Canis lupus familiaris: one gene and its partners. The protein of the gene in region 2 purifies or fractionates together with the protein of the main gene of each other region. This does not show direct contact. Links are inferred from orthologs where the notes say so. Each region holds a gene or a part of one and is shown on either strand. Other genes may lie near its edges.

What was found.
Region 1: the proteins of CD81 (region 2) and IGSF8 purify together in Homo sapiens (co-immunoprecipitation; 3 studies listed by BioGRID and IntAct, with this or other methods). This does not show direct contact. The link is inferred for Canis lupus familiaris from reciprocal best matches to the Homo sapiens genes CD81 and IGSF8.
Region 3: the proteins of CD81 (region 2) and PTGFRN purify together in Homo sapiens (co-immunoprecipitation; 7 studies listed by BioGRID and IntAct, with this or other methods). This does not show direct contact. The link is inferred for Canis lupus familiaris from reciprocal best matches to the Homo sapiens genes CD81 and PTGFRN.

What each region holds. Positions count from the first base shown.
Region 1 is NC_049259.1:22,920,854-22,924,597, reverse strand, and holds the start of IGSF8 (immunoglobulin superfamily member 8), read right to left. Parts: upstream 2,492-3,744; 5' UTR 1,045-2,491; coding exon 930-1,044; intron 723-929; coding exon 345-722; intron 1-344. UniProt on the Homo sapiens protein: Member of the immunoglobulin superfamily (IgSF) that links tetraspanin-enriched microdomains to the actin cytoskeleton and plays several important roles in innate and adaptive immunity.
Region 2 is NC_049239.1:46,911,693-46,915,436, reverse strand, and holds the start of CD81 (CD81 antigen), read right to left. Parts: upstream 2,696-3,744; 5' UTR 2,497-2,695; coding exon 2,431-2,496; intron 1-2,430. UniProt on the Homo sapiens protein: Structural component of specialized membrane microdomains known as tetraspanin-enriched microdomains (TERMs), which act as platforms for receptor clustering and signaling.
Region 3 is NC_049238.1:54,893,191-54,896,834, reverse strand, and holds part of PTGFRN (prostaglandin F2 receptor negative regulator), read right to left. Parts: intron 3,306-3,644; coding exon 2,886-3,305; intron 1-2,885. UniProt on the Homo sapiens protein: Inhibits the binding of prostaglandin F2-alpha (PGF2-alpha) to its specific FP receptor, by decreasing the receptor number rather than the affinity constant. Functional coupling with the prostaglandin F2-alpha receptor seems to occur.

The DNA of each region.
Region 1 (3,744 bases), on a different chromosome or scaffold from region 2:
CTCCGACCCTACCTCCGCTTGGCCCCCCCGCCCCCAGATCTGCATCCTGGAATCCCCAGGAATGGAGCCTGTTCCCCCGAGGGGGCTCCCCGACCAGGGAATGGCGGGGACCGGCTCCCCCTTTCCCAGGAGGTAACCCCACAGAAGAGGAAGGGCGCTGGGCGGCAATGAAGAGATGCCGGTTCAGAGCCCCGGGCCGGCCACCAACCGGTGACTGTGTGCGAGCCCCACACGGACTCCGTGCCTCAGCCTCCTCAGCCACACAACCTGACGGGGCGGGGCGCTAGGTCGGCCCCTCCTGTCCCCTCGGGGCGCACGGGCCCGCTCCCACCCCAGGCCGGTACCTCTCAGCTCCACCTTGCCGCTGTAGCTGCCCAGGTAGCGGGCGTCAGTGGAGGGCGTGTAGCACTCGTAAATGCCAGCGTCCTGTGCCTGGAGGCGGGCAATCTTGAGCAGCACAGCGTCCCCCTGCAGACGCTGTACCTGCACTTCACCAGCGGCCACGCGGGGCCCGAAAACGGCGTAGGAGAAGTGGGTATCCCTGGTGCTGACGATGCCCAGAGCAGCCTCGGGGGCCTCCGGCCTGTAGAGGAACCACTCGAAGTCCTGTTGGGACGGGCCCTCGTAGCCGCTCACGTTGCAGGAGATGGAGATGGCCGTGCCTGCCACGCGGTACAGGGGCCCCTCGGGGACCAGCACCTCCCGGGCAGAGCCCTGGACTCCTGTAGGAAAGGACGGGAGAAGCTGGAGAGGCCTGGGCCCCCACTGCAGCCCCCGCTGCCAGTACCATCCTGGACCCCTGCCCGGTAAAGGAGAGCAAACCTGGGGAAGGGTGGGGGCCCAGCTGGGGCCCTGCCCTGAGCAAAGGGGAAGGATGCCCGGAGCTAAGACACCTGGTAGGACACCTGGGTCTCCAGGGGGTCAGAGACCTGGCTTTGCCTCAGAACCCAGAAACATCCCATTTCTGGCAGGCCAGAGGTGAGCCGCCCGCGGGCAGAGCGAGGTCCAGCTGCTTTCTCTCCTTGGCTTCAGCTGCACCTCCATGTCCCTCCGGCATTTCCCACCCTCATCCGCTCTGGGCCGGGTCCTCGGGTCTTCCAGCTAAGGGTTCTGAGACCACACGTCCACCTCCTTATGAGGGCTGCTTGGCTCCGCTGTGTCACCTGGACCAGGGGACTCCAGACAATGGAGCCAGTGGCCGAGCAGGACAGGGCACAGACCCAGCCAGTTCTCACCACACAATGCCCTCCCCCCTCCAGCTGTGCCATGAGCTCACTGCTTCTCCCACCCGGCAGCACTGCCGAGGCAGCTGAGGCTTCTGGGGCAAGAACCAGCCTCTGCCCTGGCCTCTGGGGGCAGAAGACTCCCCCCCCTCAAGGGCCTGCCAATCTTCTGGGCTCGCCCAGCTGATGCAGGGCACCTCCAACTCCCTAACAAAAGCCTTCATTTGCATATGGTGTGCATTCGCTTATGTAAGGTCCCCTCTCTGTTGAGAGGTCCCCAGCTGTCTCTTCCCATCTTGCTCTCCTCAGAGAGGCCAAATTTCTGTTCTTTATCCAGCCCCACAGGACACTCCCAAGGCCCTTGGAGAGGCCCTGCTTCTTCCTTCTCTCCTTCCATTCTTCCATAGCCAACCCCTGCCCCCCAAAACCACAGAACTGCAGCCCCCGGTCAGCACCCTGCCTCCATTTCACAGACGAGGGATGGAAGGCTGGAGAAGTACATCTTGACCAAGACACTGCAGAGGTCTTGTCTAGATCTTACTACCCTTCGATGGCTTCCACAGGCCCCTGCAGAGGGACGAAGCCAGGGAGGAAGATGGGAAACTCCCAGGCCAGGCTTGAGGGGACTGACCTCACCAACCAGAATGTCACTCCCAGGGGCATTCCCAGGGCCTTTCTACAGAAGCCAGAGGAAAACACAAAGTCCGCGGTCAAACTCTGCCTTCTAGCTCCTCCAGAAGTGCTCCCCTTGACTTTCCCACGTGAGTGGGCTCTCAGCCCCTTCTTCCTGTGGCTGAGTCCCTCATGGCCGCCTGGTTAAAGCACATGCTGGGCCTCAGGAGGTTGGGTCCCAGACACAGCCCCATGCTCAGCTGGATTGACACGTCCCTTCCTCTCCCAAGACGGTTCCTCTCCTGGAGGAGAGCTCAGGGCTGCTTCTCTGAGAGTGAGTGAGCCTGTGACTCAGGAGGGCCCTGCCCCAGGGCATTTCATAATCTAGGTGATGGTGGAGACAGCTGACACCTTAGGGCTTCAGGGCAGACTCTGCTTAGAAGGGCCCCCTCCCACCTTCCTGGCCGCACAGCTGCTGCTGCTTGTGGAGATCCCCATGGGAAAGCAGGCCAGCCAGGCCGCCTTAGGGAACCAGCTGCCAGGCAGCCCAGGTGGCTCAGCAGTTTAGCACCGCCGCCTTCAGCCCAGGGCGTGATCCTGGAGACCTCGGATCGAGTCCCACATCAGGCTCCCTCCATGGAGCCTGCTCCTCCCTCTGCCTGTGTCTCTGCCTCTGTCTCTTTCATGAATGAATAAATAAAATCTTAAAAAAAAAAAAAAAAAAGAAAGAAAGAAACCAGCTGCCAGACAGCTTTCTCCCCAGCCCAGGAGGGGAGGCGGGGCAGCAGAGACCTGCTCTGGAGTCAGGTGGGTCTGGGTTCGAATCCAAGCCCCCACACTCACTAGATGGGCTCTCTGGAGCAAATTACCTCATTTTCCTCCTCTTCAGAATGAACGTAAGCATCTGCACGCAATGGGTGCTCAGACCTCTGCAGGTTCTTGCACGTCTGTGTATCACACTTCCCCACCTCCCCTGGGCTCTTCCACTCCATGCCATCCACTAGGGACAACCGGCCAACTGCTAGGCAACCAGGCCCCACAGCAACTTCCTCCTGCCTCTCACCTAGGGCCCAAGGAGGCCTAGTTCCCCAGGGCCCAGGGACCCATGGAGCCAGGGGAGGATCTGCTTGGCACTGCAGTGGAGCTCTGGTCTAGAGACGGGCTGCTGGTGTTTCGTCAGCCTGCGCCTTGACTGTGGCAACTCTGAATCCGGGGGGCAGGGCCACCCCCACTCTGCGCTCTTATTTCAAGAGCTTCAGTCTCCCAAACATCTGTGCTGGCAGCGTCCCTGTCTCAAAGCCATACTCCTCCCCAGACCACCTCCTAAGGGACCCTCCAGTTGAGGCCAAAAGCGATGGCGCTGTCAGTGCCCTCATGCATCCATGCAGCGGTGGCCAGAACACCTCACCACGGACACCCACCCTCACAGACACAAGGTGCTTGGAGATCCCAGCATTGGTCTCCACGGAGCCTGCTTTCTCCCCAGGAAGGGACTGGGGGACTAAGGGGTGTGACGAGCGGTGGGAGGCCACAGAGCCAGGTGCTGGAGCTGAGAGAGGGAAAGTGAGCAAAGGGAGACCCAGCCCAGGATGGAGATGGGGGTGACGGGGGAGGGAACTGCCCCAAATCTCAGACGGTGAAGTCTGGGGGGAGGGGAGCCACCAGGGGAGACTGAACTTCAAAGATCATGGGCAGAACCGGCCCCTGGGCCTCCAGCCAAGCCCGGGCAATTACGAAGACGGGCGAGCGCTGCCCACGCAGGGCGGGCGCCCAGAGCCGGGCCCGGAGCTCGGTGTGAGGCAGAGGGAGTCGCAGCCTTTGGGCGCAGCGCCCCCGGGCCCCCCGAGGCCGCCGGCTGAGCAGTGGGGGCGCTGCGTCCTCCCTGGGCCCCGGCCCGGCCTAGAGCTGC
Region 2 (3,744 bases):
TCCAGGAGGAGAGAGACGCACTCCTTCCTGGGGAAGCCAGCCTGGCTGCCTTTGAGGACTGCTCCCATGTGTGAGCCTTTTCACTCTCTGAAATGAAACTTTTAAAACTGCCCCGATGCAGGTACCCACTGTCAAAGTCTCCTCCCGGCTCCCCCTCAGCACCCACTCCTGTACGGTGGCCACGGTGCACAGTGAGCGAGTCAGGCCAGGCACTGGGGTGCCCTCCCTCACCCACCACCCTCTGGGGCATCCGAAACCCCTTCCCCGAGGCACAGCCCACACCGGGCCAGGACAGCAGGACAGCAGTCTTCCTGCCGGCCATCCGTGCCCTACGACCACCTCCTGAGCTCGCCTGTAAGGGTGTTAGCTAATCTGCCAGCCCCGGGAGACAGGACGTGGAAAACGTCCACCTCAGGGGGCAGGACTCCAAGGCCCAGGACTGCAGCAGAGGGGACAGGGCTCCACCACCCAGAACCAGCCCCTCGGCACCATGCTGCCAGCCAGGTGAGGCGGGACGCCCGCAGAGAGGGGCTCTGCCACAGTGGTGGCCCCCAGCCCCACCTTGCTCAGCTCTGCATGTCTGTTGCAGGGGTGGGTGGGACCGAGGCAACTGGACCGTGGGATGCAGCGCTGAGTGCTCAGCTGGGTGGCTGGGAGAGGAGAGGCCTGGAAACGTTTCCTCAAGCCTCAATGAAGAGCAGCCCCTGGGGATGTGTCAGGCCTCTGCCCAGCTGCCTGGGGAACTACCGGACTCGCTCAAGCAGAGCTGGGAGGTGAGCGCGGGCTGCCCTGGAGACCTCCCAAGCTGGGCAGCGGGGAGGGACTTACCCAGAGCTGACACTCAGCCCAAGGACAAGAATCTACTCCAGAAGACAGCCTCTATGTCTGTCTACCCTCCACTTCCTGGTCAGGGTCCTCACCCCACATCCAGGCTCCGCTGGTAGGGGAGGGGCTCAGAGGCCAGCAGAGGGGTGTCTGGGTGTCCCTTCACCCCGACCCCTATACACCCAGGCCATAGCAGGCAAATACTAAATCGACACTCAACACCACCTCTTCGGCAAAGACCCCAGGCATGGTTAAGGTCATACCTGGCCCATCCTGACAGTCCCCGTGCTCCCCACTCCCCAGGCAGAGGCCAGTGGCCACAGCGACCCCCAGCTGTGCCTCCCACCCAGGCGGGGGGCAATGCCTCCACTTCACCCTCAGCTAAAGCTCCGTCCAGTCTCTGTCCCCGCCACCCCAAACACCTCACTGCCCCAAGATCCACGCTGGGATCCTCGGATGTCCAGAACGGAAACAGATGTCCCCAATCCCACACACTTGCTCTGGGGACCATTTTAAAAGTTTACCCTCTTGCATCTACTTGGGAAATACACTGTCCAGCAGATGTTGTCATGGTCCTTTCCCAGAAGGAGTGAGCAGCCTGGGTGGCGAGCAGCACACAGCCACCCAGGAAGGTTCCCAGGTCCTGCGGGGGGTGGGGGGTGGGGGGGGGGAACATGACTGGCCACGAGGAGGCAGGGCAGCGCCAGGAGAGGGGTTCCTGCACCCACTCGGGGCCCCTCCCCAACTCCAACACAGGCAGGAAACCGAAACAAAGCCAAAGCTCCAGCGTTCCTGGCCAGCAGTTACCACCCAGGCCAGGAAAACGCGACTTGCAGGTCAGCAGCCTGACGGCCCTGAGACCCTCCTGCACCCCAAGATGAACATCCTGTGGCTACCTCTTCCAAGGTGGACGTCCAAGCTCAGACCGAAGCCCAGACCTGGGCATCCCCTGGGACCCAGGCTCCGGAGGGGCCCAGAGGCGCTCGGGTCCACGGGGCCCCCTGCCCGCCCTGGCCCCACTCCCCTCAAAGCCTCCACCGCGTCCTGGCCGGGGCAGGCTGCAACCCCGGGCTGGGGGGGCAGTGCAGGGGGCCGGCCCCACCAGGCGCGGGCCGCTGGGGGCCCCCCACGGCCATCCCCGGGGCGGCAGGGCTTGCTGGGCCGGCCGTGGGGCGAGGGCTTCCCAGGACCGCACCGAGTGCGCGGCCCCCCTGCCCCCCGCCCCCCGCCCCCCCGTCCTTCCAGGGGCGGCGGCTCGGATGAGCTCATGGGGGCGGGGCGCCGGGAGCCCCGCCCCCCGAGCCCCCTCGGTGCCGGCGGAGCAGGGTGGTCCCCTCACGGCGGCCCGCGGCCCCCAGCCCGCTCCCGCCGCGCCGCCCGCCATCGCTCGGCGGGCTCAGCCCCCACGGCCCCCCGGACGCCCCGGCCCGGCCCCGCGCCCCGACAGCCGGCTCGCAGCACCCCCTCCGCCCGTCTGCCGGCCCCGGACCACCCCCCGCCCGGCGCCCACAGGTGGCCCCTCTGCGCGGCCTAGTGGGGCGCGCGGCCTGCCGGGCTCGGGGCGTCCCGGCCCCCCCCGCCCCCCGCCCCCCGCCGGGGGCTCACCCAGAAGACGAAATTGAAGACGAAGAGCAGGTACTTGATGCACTTGGTGCAGCCCTCCACCCCCATGGCGGCGCGGGCGGCGAGTGGCCTGCGGGGTGCGCGGGGCGGGCCGGGCCGGGCCGGGGCGCGGGGCGCGGGGCCTGGCGGGCGGCGGGGCGGGGCGCGGGCCCGGGGCGCGGGTGCTCGGGGCGCGGGTACTCGGGGGCGCGGGGCGCGGGGCGCGGGAGGCCGGGCCGGGGCGCGCTGGGTCGACCGCCGCCGCTGCGCGCTCGCTCTCTGGCCGCGCGCGCGCCCCCGCCGCCTGTTATAGGGCGCTCCGGCCCCGCCCCCGGCCCCGCCCCCGGCCCCCGCCCCGCCCCCGGAGCGCGCGCTCCGCGGGGGTCAGACCTGGGTGCCCCGAGCCCAACGCCGGCCGGCCTCGCGGCGCCCTGCGAACACCTTCCCCTTCTCTCGGCCTTCCCCAGGCGCTTCGGACAATCCAAGGAGGCTCCCTGGAGGAGGTGATGCAGCAGCGAGTGCCCCCCAGGGTGGGTGATGAGCCTGACAGCCAGCCGGCCTGGCTTGAAAATCCTGGTCATCCACGGTAAGGGCAGTTGTTGAGCACGGCGACAGAGTCTGCTTGGAAAGGTCCCTGAGACGGTGACCGGTGTTAAATGTCCAGGAGACCCCAGCCACCTGTAGGACAGCCTCCAAACACTGTGTACTCTGCTCACCCCGGTGGAGGCCAGCCCCACAGTCAAGTCGGTTTTCTGAAGATGGGGGCCGGGGGGCAGGCTGATGGGGATGCGGGCAGGAGGGGACCCATCAAGTGGGCAGTGCTTCTCCCCAGGTGACAGAGCGGACCTGTGGCCTGGTGACTCTCGGATGAAGAAGTGGAAATGTTCCGTGTAACCCTGGCACAAATGACTGCTGACCCCTTGACACGGGGCCAGTGCCACCACCCAGCAGGACCCAGATTTTTCATTGTACTTCACTGCAGTGGGAATGGCCCTGGGTGGCCAGCAGCTTCCTATTAGCCGGAGCAGCCCTAGCTTACTCCTGTCTCTGTACTCTTATTTCTGTAGTTTTCTTGGTGGTTAATTTAAAAAAATCTGTTCCAGGGGCACCTGGCTGGCTCACTTGGTAGAGCATGGGACTCTTGATCTGGAGATGGTGAGTTCAAGCCCAGTGTTGGGTGTGGAGCCTACTTAAAAAAAGAAAGTTGGGGTATAAATAAAATATAATAATAAAATCAAAGTCCATCCTGGCTTCCTGCTTGTATAAGAGCTATGCACACGTGTTTGTACATAGTGTAGTGTTTGTGTGTGTTGAGAT
Region 3 (3,644 bases), on a different chromosome or scaffold from region 2:
TAGAGACACAGACAGAGGGAGAAGCAGGCTCCATGCAGGGAGCCTGATGTGGGACTCAATCCCTGGACTAGGATCATACCCTGAGCCGCAGGCAGGAAGCCACAGTCATTTTATCTGTTATGCAGAGATTTAAAGAATTGAAAAATAGATGCAATACCTATTCCTCACTCAGAAATACAAAAGATTTTATGTCTCCCCGGTTTCCCATAACAATTCTAGAGAAACATCAAATAACAAATGTAAAACAAGATGGAATAAACTCCTACAGAGAGTAAAACAGATACACAAATAAAAGACAAAAACCACATAATCATCTTAATCTCACTAGACACAGAAAAAGCATTTGACAACATTCAGCATCTCTTCATGGTAAAAACACTCAACAAACGGTAATAAATGGGAAACTTCCCCAACTTAATAAAGGGCATCTATGAAAAACTCAGTTATGATGACTTTTAATGGTAAAGGACTGAAAACTTTCCCCGTAAGATCAGGAACAAGACAAGGATGTCCACTTGTACGCTACTATTCAACAACATTATTCTAGAGGTGCCAGCCGGGGCCATTAGGCAAGAAAAAGAATTGGAAGGTATTCAGTTTGGAAAGGAAAAAGTAGAATTGTCTTTATTCACAGATGCCGTTTTATTGTATTTAAAACATCCTAAGGAGGGGCACCTGGATGGCTCGGTGGTTGAGTGTGTCTGCCTTTGGCTCAGGTCCTGGGGTCGAGTCCCGAAATGGGCTCTCCACTGGGAGGCTGCTTCTCCCTCTGCCTGTGTCTCTGCCTCTCTCTGTGCATCTCTCATGAATAAATAAATAAAATCTTAAAAAATAAATAAAACATCCTAAGGAATCAACCAAAAAGCAATTAAAACTAATAAGTCTAGCAAGGTTGCAGAATCCAATAACAATACATAAAAAATCAGCTCTGTTTCTCTATACTTGCAAGGAATAAATGGAAAAGGAAATTGAGAGCAATTCTATTTACAATAGCATCAAAAAATAAAATACTTAGGATATATTTAATGAAAGAAGTTCAAGATTTGTACATTGACAACTACAAACACTATGGACAGAAATTAAAGACCCAAATAAAAAGAAAGATGCTCCATGTTGATGGACTGGAAGGCAATAATGTTAAATGGCAATACTCTCCAAACTGATCTACAGATTCAACACAATTCCTACCAAAGTCCCAGATGTCATTTTTGCAGAAATCAATGGGTAATCCTAAAATTCATACAGAAATGCAAGAAACCCAGAATAGCTAAAACAATCTTGAAAAAGAACAAAGGGTCATAGTTCTTGATTTGAAAACTTACTACAAAGCTACAGTGATCAATGTGGTACTGGTATAGGAAAAGACAAATGGGGCAACACCATAGGACTGGGAGTCTAGAAAAATCCTTAAATTCATGTTTGAATGATTCTTGACAAGTGTGCCAAGACAAGTCAAGGGGAAAGGAAGAGGCTATTCAACAAGTGGTGTAAGAATGGCTGGGTGTTCACATGCAAAAGAATAAAACTGAATCCCACCCTCTGCTACACACAAAAATCAGGGCTTCTGGGTGGCTCAGTCAGTTAAACATCTGCCTTCAGCTCAGATCACGATCTCAGAGCCCTGAGATTGAGCCCTGTGTTGGGCTCCCTGCTCAGTGGGGAGCCTGCTTCTCCCTATTCCCCAGCTGGTGTGTGCATGCACACATGCTCTCTCTCAAACAAATAAAATCTTTTAAAAATTTTTATTTAGAACAGATCATAGCACTAAGTATAAGAGCCGAAATTGAAAAACTCCTTAGAAGGAAACAGAGGCATGTTCTTATAGCATAAAAACATTTTACTTAACCAAAAACAAAGTCAATTCAGGATAGACACAAAAATGCCCTTTTTTTAGTTAACCTTGCCGTACACGACTACCACCAATAACTATTAATGAACTGGTTGACAGATATATTCATCCATACCACCACAGCTCTGGCAACTCAACTAGTTGATGGGAAATCTTTTTCTAGTCCCAAAGCAAGGTGAGGCATAGGCTGGGATACTCATTTCCTGCGTGGAAATACTGGTCTATGAGCCAAGCCAAACACAGTACCCAGCACCTTCAGTCCTAGGGACCCCTAAGAGCGAAAGCCAGGGGCCTGATGCAACTGGGGTCTTGGCTCTGAACCGTACACATTTGGCAAGTTATGTAACCCTTCTGGAGACTCCGTGCCCTCTTTAATTATACTCCACCGTGTTCTCTAAGGGAGCTAAAATAGCTGGGTTTTGGTTTATCCATTAAAAATAAGAAATAAGCATTGTAGGTACACCCAAAAATTTGTACACAAAAATTCATAGGATCATTCCTAATAGTCCAAGAACTGGAAACACGCAAATGGCCACTAGGTGATAAATGGATAAAACAAAATGCAGTGAAGTATCATTCAGTCACAGAAAGGTACTGACACATGCTACAACATGGATGATCCTCGAAATAAGACCAAAAAAAGAGAGAAAACAGTATGCTACAGGGAAAGAAAACAGACATGAAGAGCATATGTTATATTCCATTAATGTAACATAGATGTCCAGAACAGACGAGTTTACAGAGATAGGAAAATAGATTCGTGGTTGCTAGAGGGCTGGGAATGGAAGGGTGTCAGCTAAGGGATACAGGATTTCTTTGGGGTACAATGAAAATACCCTACAGTTGACTGTGGTGACAGTTGCACAACTCTGAATATACTGAAAGCCATCGAAGGATACCCTTTAAATGAGTAAGGTATATGGCATGTGAATCACATCTCAAAGAGGAAAAGTGCTTAAGAAAAAACAGCCATTGGATCAAAATCCTAGGGTCGCTCTCTGGTTCAGTCTGTGGTTCAATAGGGTCCCTCGCTCACCTGCAGTTTGGAAGTCAATCTCAATAGGATTGGAGAGGCTGGTGGCTGCTTCTCGCCACAGGCTGCCCCTGACAGGAGACCAGGCTGTCACCATGCAGCGGTATAGCCCTGCATCCGAGACCTGAGTCTGGTACATTCGGTAGCGAAATTCATCTTCCTGCACTTTCTCCAACACGACGCCGTCCACCCGGGATGCGTCTGTCCAATTCTCCAGCTTCACCACAGAATCCTGGTCCAGGGAAATGATGTACTTGGTTTCGTTGGGGCTGGTGAGGTCCCCCACAGGCTTCTCAGCAGTGATGAGAACAGAGTAGCGAGGCGACTTAATATTCTTGGAAGACACTTTGCAAGTCATCTCAAATGTATTCCCTGCAGCAAAGAAAGGCTTTGGCTGCCTTGCCTTCACCACGAGCACAGAATCTAGAATGAAGTACCAGAAAGAGGTGATTGCCAACAGGACAAGTGAAAACAGATATGTGTCTGAAATGACAAGGAAATTGGACTTTATGTGCAAATTGCTGTGCGATAGCACTTGAGGAAATCAGAAGGAAAATCATGAGTGTCTGTAAGCAGGCTACAAACCACCAGGCTGGATAAAGCAGAACAGTCTGATGTGATTTAATGGGAGACTACTGGTGCCCTCAAGGATGTGAGGCAGAGCTCACTCTTCGTTGTGAAGAGGAAGAGACATAGCGGAACACAACACCCAGGTCAAGGCCGTAGGCCACGCCAGGTGCCTCCTCTCCCCTGAGGTTCTGC